2 linked regions of the Drosophila melanogaster genome follow. The protein of the gene in region 2 interacts with the protein of the main gene of each other region in a pairwise test. Each region holds a gene or a part of one and is shown on either strand. Other genes may lie near its edges.

Region 1 (4,258 bases), on a different chromosome or scaffold from region 2:
GAGGCTGGTGGACTGAAGTCCGTCTTCGAGATCATGAGTTCGAATTTGGATGAGGTGCGTCTAAATAGAGAGGCCTTAAAGTTGCTACGTGCCCTGGCTGGCCAAGACTCCGTGAAGTCACATATAGTACAGCAGGGCGTGGCTCCTATAATAAAGCAATTGCTAGAGACGCACCAGTCCAATGAAAACATCGTTGCCGCCGCTTTGGCCTGCGTGACTACTCTGACACTCCGAGTGCAGGAACACAGTGCCGCCTTTTTCGATACCGGCATCGCCGAAGTAATCGTGGAGGCTCTTCGCGCCCATCCCAAACACAAGATAGTCCAGCGAAACGGAGCGTGGGCCATCCGCAATATGGTGTCACGGTCGCGGAACCAGTGTGAAACCTGGATCTCCTTCGGCGTTGAGGATCTACTAAATATGGCAATGAAGGAGCACCCCAGTGTGGAGCAGGACATCAAGGCGGCGTTGCGCGACCTCGGCTGTAGTGTCCACTTGCGCGAGGAATGGACGGGCACGGCGGAGAAAAAAATTGCCGCCTAATCGCACACACATATGCCTTTTGTATTTTTATATATTTACTGCTAAATTATTACTATTGCTTAATTCATGCATTGGCTAACTAACAAAATCGGCAATCCTCAATACCAATCGCGTGCTAATACCCAACTGGGGCAGTCTCTTATGATCACATGGCTGTGGACTTATTTGCCCAGGTTAAAGTTGCGCAGCGAGCCGGCTTTAAGACGCTGGTTGACATTCCGGGAAAGGGCGGTCGAGGATCTGATTGTGGAAAGACCCTCTTCCTCGGCGCGCTGCGCAAAGGGGTCAACCTTCTCAGAACCGCCCATTCCATTGTAGACAAAATTTGAGCCCGTCGTGGCCGTCAACGCAGAACTACTTGAACTTCCCAGCAGCAGTCTTGGCTTCTTGAAGATTGAATACTGGGGGAATATACGGAATTTTTAAATGGTTAAGTGGAATTCGGCAAAATTATTGCGTTTACCTTTTCACTGAGATCACTGCTGGTTTTCCGTATGGTTCCGCTGGTCATAGACACACCGCCACCGACTCCCTTGATGGGCGATATTTTAGACTTGGCCAGCCCAATGTTACCCTTAGTATTAAGAAGATGCGCCAACCCGACGCTGCTGGATTTAATGTTGAGATATGGGGAGGTGGATTCTTCGATGCGCTTAATATTCTCCTTCTGTAGGGCAGCAAAATATTAGTAGCTTATATTTTCGTTTATTCGTGTCTACTCACAACTGTAGGGGAAATAGTGGTACGCCTTTCCTCCCTTTTAAGGGCCAAAATGTTGCTGTTCAGACCACAAGAGGCATTTGGTGAGTCCAAGTAAGCGGTCTTGTTCTCAAAAGCTTGTAGCTGAAAAGATAATAGTATGTTTAATCGAAATTGTGTTAAAGAAGGCTCAGCAAACCTTCTCCTGCGCCTGGTAAAGGTCGCTCTCCAGGTGTGAAACACGCTCTTCCAGCTTGCTGCAATCGAATGAGCACATATCAATTATAAAAACCACGTTTGGAATGTTGTGAGCATACCGCTTTAGTTCGATCTCCTTTCGCAGATCATTCTGCACCACCTTCACTACATTCCTGAGCTCCGTCTTTTTGCTCTCGCATTGTCGCAACTCCCTCTTGAGAGTGGACACCCAGTTGGCTAGGACATGTGGATCAGCCTCGTTCTTGAGCAAGCGGTCGGCATCCGCCGAGCCAGCCGCCAGAATAGCCGATATGCCTTCCATACTCTGGATCTGTGATTTCAATGTTTTGTTTTCCTTGCGCAACCCATCAACGACATGGGCATCACTCTTGAGGACGCCAATTTGCTCGACATAGCTGCTGATGAGAAAATCCTTCTTTTGCACCTTCTGCTCCAAACCGGCTATGGTTTTGCTGCAAATGAGAAATGCATCAGTCTGGTACTTAAGGCAATGTGTATACAAAAGCATACAGGCACTTCTTTTGTGTTTCCTTCAGATCCCGAATCTGCTGTTCATCCTTGTTGCGCTCTTTTTCGACCATTTTCATGGACAACATCGCATTGTCCAGCTGCTCCTGCAGTGAACCAACATCGATGTGGCTCACATCCAAGTTGGCCAGATTGAAATAGACCCTAAATATGTTGCGGGTAGTGCACTTATTCCGGCACTGAGGACAGGTCTTTGATCTGCGAAAGATATTTGATTTTATTGTCGGGAATCAGAAATATCCTTATGCGTTGTTTACCGATCGAGCCATTGATTTAGACAGTTGTGGTGGAACATATGACCACAAACTGTGGCAAAAACCTCGTCGGCCTGGCCAAACAATTCGGCGCATATCACGCAGTTTAAGTTCAACATTTTTGGCACAAATAACTACATAAAAATAGTTATTACAAAAGAACAACAAATAAACGCACGCCGAACAGTTTGCGCGCCCAACGAAACACAGCTGACTGATGGCGATTTTACGATGCTCCAATGAGCGGAATTCACCACACCAGTATTTGTCAAGAATCGATTGTAGACAATAACTGTTAGCTGATAGATATTTCCACGACAAACTAATTGCTAACTAACTTGGCTTAAGTCGAAACAACAAATAATGTTTACAAATACGCTTACTCAGCCACTGAAACTAAAATTCATCCTAAATTTTAGAAAGATATGTATGTGTGGATACTTTTTAAACCCTACTTCTTAAGATATACTGTGGATATAAATTTCATATTTTATTCTGCCAATCCATCTTAAATCCAGCTACTTATGCTCCGTACTTTAGCCCCATGGTGGTCTTATCGATAACAGCGGGAGCACTGTGGCGCTATTTACGAAAGCACACCGTGTGCTTTCGATATCGCGACAATGCTATCTAGAGGTGGAGAAACATCGATGTTTTAAAGAACACAACACATCGATGTTTTTCCACCTCTTTTAAAAGTCGTCAAATAGCAATAATAAATAGGAATAGTTATAAATTTGTGCATTTAATTTCGTTCGTTATTTGCGTTTCAATCGACCGTGGGTCCCAGTGAGCTAACTGCACCTGCACCCAAAGCGGAAGCTGAGCGAAAAGGTGTTTCATTTGGCGTGCGCATTTCGACACCTTTGTCAACGCTGATTCTTATTTGGTGGACCGACGACTCACACACACGCGCGTACCAATATAACAGACACTGAAGTGTGTGTGGAAGGGACAGACAAACAACCGTGCGATAACAACAACAAACGGCAGTGATCGCGGCGAGAAATGGAAATGGCCAACAACATGGTCAGCAGCAGCAACAGTGGCGGCGGTGGCAGCAGCAACACCACCTCCTACGGCAACAACAGCTACAACAACAGTGCGGTGGACAGTGGTCACAGTTCGCACAGTGGTGTCGGTAGCGGGGGCGGTGGTGAGGGAACGGGAGCGCGCCTCCGGGATGTTTGTACCATCCTGAACACTGGCCCCGCCGCCTATCAAAATCAAACAGGTGGCTATGCCTACGACCACATCATCGCCCTGATGAGGAACCTTGATCTGCAGGACGATGGCATTGTGCTGAACTCCAAGATCAAGACCATCGAAACGGACTTCTGCAACATAGTGCGCGACGAGTCTATGCTTTGGTATGTGTGCCGATCTCTACCGTTTGGTTGGTTCGCTCATTGATGATTAATCATATCATAAGTAGTGTGTTTATTTGCCACCTCTTTTCGCATATACATATGGATGTATGTAAATACCCGGCGTAGGTACAGTGCGGTGCGATAGCATATGGGCAAGGCGAGCTCCCAAGCCCATCAAAGCCAGCCATGTGATAACAAGACTTAATGCATGCAGTACATATCTGCCTGGCGAAGACCGATCCTTATTGTAATATTTATGACATTCCATTACAAGTAGCATGAGTAATTCGTTAAATTTGGGAGCTTGTGGCGTTCGCCCATAGGTTACAGCATTCTATAAGTTATTCCAATAATGAAATGCTTGAAATGCAGAAACCGAATTACTAATCAAGTTCAAACGTTAATTTGTTTTTACGCGTTCAAGAACCCTTGGGTTCTTAAAGTGCAACTTTGTAAACTTTTCTTCTTACTTCATTATTTTTAGGTTCGAAAAAGTTTTTGCGACCTTCTACATATACATTTCAATTTTATTAAATGTCTAAAAATCGATTTATAAATCTGAAAAGCACTGTATTTGTGTATATGTGTTCGTGCACGAGTTCGTTGTTTGCGACCAGGTTGCTCGAACGTCAGCGTGTCTTGAAA
Region 2 (6,145 bases):
TCTCCTCGCATATATTTTCGGTGCATAGCAATCAGGCCACGCTCTGACCTGATGTATCGGGCGTGAATCATGCCGTACCACTTCTTTTCATCGCCGTACAACAAGCCAGAGGAACTATCGATCACCGGCTTCAGGATCACGTCCAGTATCTCGCTGAAATACTCCAAGCCCATCTGGTTGAACGTATCCTGCACGTAGTCGGTGGGCACGCGGCAGAGGAACTGGTTGCCCTTGATCCCGAGGAACCAATCGATCCAGCTGCTGTTGTTGTTCTGGCTACAAGATTTTACTGTGACTTGCTATAATTTCTATAGGAAAAACCTAGTTACTTACGAGCTCGACATGTTGCCAGTTCACTTGTTCAGAGAAATATGATTTGTAGACTTCAAAGTCATCGTCTTCTTCTTTGAGTTTTTGACACGTGCTAAAAGGCCTGCCAGGACTCTGTCATGCCCTTCCAGATGGGAACTCTAGACTCGAAAATTCGTTTTATGTTCGGCTGGCATAATAAGTATTAGTTCTTTTATTTCATAATATGTTATGCATACGATATTTTATGTGTCAGTTGGGCCAAAAACAAATCAAATGTCATTGTTTCGACAAGGCAGCATCGGCTGATACTATTTATAAATAGTATCCAAATCAAAATCCTATAAATTCAGTAATTTTTTAACACTTAAATTAATTAATAAACTTACCATTCAGTTATATTACCACTTAACTATTTAAATAAAACACAACTCGGTTTATTTTTTATAATTTTTATTTGAATTTTTCGTTTTTATTTATTTTTCTTAGAAAAAAATTAATTAAAATTAAAGAAAACTGAATTTTTATTTTCGCTTACTCTTTGATTTATGGTTGCTTTTCGGTTGCTATTGTTTTTTGGATTATCCTTTAGTGATTTCGGTGACAAACATTTAATTACTGTACACAATTTTTGTTGAGAACTGCACTTGAAATTTTCACGCAATCAAGCCACTACTTTTGTTTTTCTTTTTGTATTTTTTTTGTATAAATATATAGTGTATGCATTCATTGTATTTTGATCATGTATCATATTTTTGTATATTTTTTATATATATATTTTTTATTTTTTTTTTTTTCAAAAATTACTAATAGCTTAAAGGCTTCATTGTTTGGTTAAAAAAAATTGTTTTCGAGTAAAAACTATTTATCGTTTATCAAAGGGACTCTGACACAACCCAGGCAAAGCTCAAGTATCAATCGAAATGGTGAACTCTTAGTTAAGAAAAGTAAAGTCTACAAGTTGGACGATCACATCTTAAATTTTCTGAAACACTGAAAATGATACAATCAAAATTCTCTATTTTGAATTGACATTTAAGCCGAGTTTTCAAATGACGAGTTAAAGGAAATCAAAATCCCTTCTTGTTTGCCTTTCCAATTGATTTATCATATCTGATGCTACATGTGTTAATGGTTATGGGTTGGTTATTTCAGTTACACATAGAATTATATACGGCTATATGTATATAGACACCAGAACCCTCGAACAAATCAATAGAAACGACTAAAACCAATTACTGTTTTTTTTTTTTTTTTTTTTTTTCGTTTTTAGTTTGTTTCGGATACATGTATACGTCTTACATAAAGAATGCTTTCGCTATCTCTCCTCCATTTCGCCGATCGCCCCGATCGATTGGTTGAAAAAAATATATATATTAATATTTTATATGTATATCCCGCCCCAGAAGGTTCGAAAAAAAAATGTGTTCTTAAATCGTTTTTTTTTATGTTTGCTTCCTTACTTTTTTCTTATTTTATGTTTTCTTTCGTATGTTTTAGGTTTTTCTGGTTGCTTTTAAAGTATTCAATTTACCCACCCGCCCGTTCATGTCACGCACCCACTTTCTGGAAAAACGCCGATACAACTGACGGATCCGCTTTCTGACTTTCCTCCTGACCTCGGGCGTTCAGTCTTCGACGGCATATTTCTGGGTCCACTCGCGGGCATTGCGAATGGCCTCCGCCTCGTTGACCTTCCACAACTCAGCCACATCGTTGGCCAGCGGATCGTCGGGATTGGGTGCACTGAGCAGTGCCTGAATGGATAGCAATATGGTCCGGATCTGCAGGGCTGGACTCCACTTGTCCTTCAGCACGTCGAGGCAAATGCGGCCCAAACGATCGATGTTCGGATGGTAGATCTTCGTGATGAAGCGCACTTTGGGCGCTGACATTGGATAGTCCTCCGGTAGGAACAGCTCCAGCTTGAACACGCCGCCCTCGAAGGGCGAATCGTTCGGTCCGGTCACGATCACATGGAAGTAACGGGCATTGTTCTCATCGGGAATGGCATTGATCCCAGGCACTGGCTCCTGCATCAAACGTTGAGTCTCCTTGATGATGCGACGTGGCAGGCTGGACATCGTTTAGCTGGTTCCTTTTACGCGGTGAACTGGAAACGCGGGTTGAGTCTGGACCTTCTCGTTGAGCTGCAAACGAGATCGGAGTGAAGTTAACCAATTAAGTAGTTCCTCGGTATCATCCACTATCCACTCAACGTTAATTAAGACTATAAATTAGTATCCCTAATGTTTACAGTCGTGGTTTCAACTGTGAAATTAAACTAATTACTAATTTAAATAAGGGCTCAACTACATGTATCGGTGAAATAGTAGCATTAGTAAATTGGAGTTTCACTTGGTTTTCTTGGGGAAGAGCGTGGCAAGTCAAAGAGAATTTTCCTTTTTGCAGCTCAAGGTCGTTCTTTATGGGGATGCGTGTGTGCAGGGTTGGGTGGATTTTGGTCTGATACGTGGCTTTCACTTTCCCCAAGAAAGTTTTACTACAGAATTTAGCATGCCACAAAGATGTCTCTATGTGGCTAAAAAAAAAAATAAACTAATTCAAAATATGTTGTATATTTAAAGATGTTTTCAAATTGTAGTACTTAATAATATTTATATTGAAGTATATGAACGGAATTCAAAGTTATTAACTTGATTCTGGATATCTAGACTATATTGTAAACCAATATTTTCAATATTTTCTGGATTTATTTCCGTTACACTTTTTGCGAAGTTCAAAATAAATTTCTGCTTGTGTAAGTCAAAGCCCACCCACTATTGCCAACTCCTTTAGCGTGACCTTGCGGCTCCTTTAACTGTTTACATTTCCCAGACACACGGAAAATCAAGTAAAATAAAGAGGAGAAGGGGAAAGAAAGACGCAGATAAACCAGAAACAAAAGGCAATAAATGAATGCCCCAAAATTTCCAGAAATTGTATTGCGAAAGCAACAACAACAGCAACGAAAAACACTCGAAGCAAACAAAAGAAATTGCGTTATTAACGCGAAAACAGCAATAATTTAACCATAATGTGCGGCGTTTCGCTGTTTTACCAACTTATTGATTTCCCTTTTGGGTGACAAATGCACGTAGTTCCGCAGAGGAAGAAGAAGCAGATTGGACAGGAGGAATGCGGAGGGGGAGAAACGGGGTGAACCGCTTGAAAAATCAATAATGTTGGCAATTAAACTACAAAAAAAAAACCAAATAAGATTTTTCTTTTTTACAAGCAACAATTTCGCTTGCATACGCACACACACAGACACAGCGAGTCACGCACCCACGCACACAGACAAAATGCAGACAACGCGCACGAAAAAGACAAAGGCGAAAAGAGAATATGCGGATGGGTGAGACAAAGAGGGCGAGTCAAGAAAAGAAGAAAAGCAAACGCCGCTTTTTTGGCGAATTTAAGTTAATAGAAAAAAACGGCGAATACTTGGTGCGAACGCCGCAATTATTATTTTTCACACACACACACATATATATTCGATTTATCAACTTTTACGGCTTTTTTCTTGCTCTTCTTCGATATTATATTAAATTTTATCTGCTGCCTCTGCTTCTTCTGCTGCTGCTGCTCCTGCTTTTTTTTTGCTGCTGTTGTTGTTGTTGTTCTCACTTTGGTATTTTTTCGGGCATTTACAACATTTTTGGACAAAAACAATGGTTTTTAGATAAAGTATGCAACTTTCGATAAAACACAAACTCACATCGTAACAGCGCCAAGTTATTGCTGAACTTTATTTGCAGTTATGGCCGATAACTTCGTTGGCAAACTGATAAAATTCGATTTTGCAGGCAGCTCCACCACAAAAATTATGAATGTCGAACACACTCGAAAAAAAATGTAGCCGTTTGGTAGTGTGTGTGTGCGTTGCTGTGACTAACGTGCGTCTGTGTGGCGTGCGTGTGAGCGGCAATGTCAAAATGACAGGGTTGCTAGGGTGCCTAGATGTGAATTCAATTTTTTTGCAACACGTTTGCACCTCCTTCTCAGTTTAATTTCAGTACAAATATATCTTTAAATATTTTCTTTGCTACTCATCTTGTTTTTTATCCCATTTTTCCATTTTTGCGCAGGTAATTTTATTGTTCGCACTAGTAAAAACGCATTTTCGGTGACAACTCTAGCGCTTAGCGGCTGTCAAATAGGACAGTGTTTCATAGCAATCAGCTCTTCGGCACGCTACAACCCAAGGTTTTGGAGCGCTTAGCTTTTTTCTGTCAGAAATTTTGATTGGAAAATTGGCGGGACAAATCCAGTTGAAAGAAACACGAAAGAGAAGTAACAAAAAGTGTAAGTTCCCGGGAATAAGCAATAAATTTAGTCGGGATTTATTTAATCGACGACTTTGATCTTTGTTTTCGTTGCTTAAAACCAATGCTTTGCATTTTTAATATTCATCAGATGTAACCTAACTTCATACCTAAGGTAAATACATCTAAAATTCTCGAGAAATTTGGTCATTTATGTCAGCACTTTATAAAGCGATATTTGAACTGCATATTAGCACTTATTAATATGGTTTTATGTTCTTTTTAACATCATAACCATGTGTTTCCCAAAAACTTTTATCACAATAAGACTTATAATAAAAAAAAATTGCATGCAAATTAAAATAAATTTTATTTCTTTAGTATTATTCGATAGCAAATTAATGATTAAAAAAATGATTGTACATAGGTTTCGTTATTTAACAAGTCTAAAAGGAGCCGGTACAGGATTCCAATCAGACACGTGCAAAAACATAAACCCAAAAAGCGAGATAGCAACAACAACAAATTGTCAATTTACTGTAATCAACATTTATGCGTTTTTAAAAAGAGAGGCTGTCCGAACACACACACACAACTGCGCACTTGCACTCACACCCACACACCTCGAATGCAATGCCCAATGGACGCACAAGAAGCCGAAATGAGCAACAACAAAAACCACAAGGCGGAAGGCAGAAAACTAAAATACAAAAAAAAACAAGCGAAACCTCTCGCTCGCACACACACATGCTATTTACCATTCGTATTCGTTCGATTGCATAGGCCGGTTGCATGTGTGTGTGCGAGTGTGAGATAAAAACAAACACCAACTGCAAAAGGGCAACAAAACCAACAACAGCAAGACAGCCATAAGCATTACACACACCGCACACAAACACACACACACACGTGCGATCTCCGTTTTTAGGCTGGCCAAACCAACAACAACGACTGTAGTCCAGCCCACAAGTGAGAGCGAGAGAGAGCAACCTGCCTCTTTTCTGCTTTGCTGTTTATCTGTTTTTCTGCTGCAACTGCGCTGCTTTTCCCTACGCAGTGCACGTGTGTGTGTGTGTGTGTGAAAGTGTGTGGGTTGGTGCGAGAGGGGATGAAAGAGCAAGAGAGGGCGGAACGGGGGCGACCTTTATTCGCTCTTGAGCTGCAGCTGTTTTTAGTGCCTTCCTCTATGTATTTTTACGCTCGATATGGCCAAATTCTAACCGCTACAGCTGATCTTCAAAGGAATGTGATAGAAAGTGAGGGGGGAAAGGGGAGAAGAAATTGATAGAGAAGACGAGGTGAAGAGTGTAAGAAGACATTCAAATCGAAGGACGTTTTAAAGTTCTGCTACAAAGTGAAGATTTAGTCGAAAAAGAAAGACTAGTATAGCCACTTCTTTAGTGGTAGAATATAATGAAATTCTCTTGGTTTTCGTACAATAAGTCATTGAAATAATAGATGTATCTATGTACATATGTACATACATATATCGGAATAGAAAACCTCAATGCATTTTTTCCTCTTTCAGAACACCGAGAAATGATAGAAAAATTAACTAAAATGGAGAG

Evidence for each region.
Region 1: the proteins of ben (region 2) and nopo interact in a two-hybrid assay, tested with the Drosophila melanogaster proteins (2 studies listed by BioGRID).

The regions. Positions count from the first base shown.
Region 1 is NT_033778.4:18,178,826-18,183,083, reverse strand, and holds nopo (no poles), read right to left. Parts: upstream 2,468-4,258; 5' UTR 2,363-2,467; coding exon 2,247-2,362; intron 2,188-2,246; coding exon 1,972-2,187; intron 1,914-1,971; coding exon 1,560-1,913; intron 1,500-1,559; coding exon 1,442-1,499; intron 1,387-1,441; coding exon 1,267-1,386; intron 1,211-1,266; coding exon 1,007-1,210; intron 945-1,006; coding exon 705-944; 3' UTR 565-704; downstream 1-564. Other genes in the region: CG5721 (uncharacterized protein), read left to right, coding at 1-543; CG5726 (uncharacterized protein), read left to right, coding at 3,252-3,613.
Region 2 is NC_004354.4:13,994,409-14,000,553, reverse strand, and holds ben (bendless), read right to left. Parts: upstream 4,210-6,145; 5' UTR 4,031-4,209; intron 3,939-4,030; exon of another isoform or gene 3,757-3,938; intron 2,460-3,756; 5' UTR 2,394-2,459; coding exon 1,938-2,393; 3' UTR 749-1,937; downstream 1-748. Other genes in the region: Ste12DOR (stellate 12D orphon), read right to left, coding at 1-276, 334-344. UniProt on the Drosophila melanogaster protein: Catalyzes the covalent attachment of ubiquitin to other proteins.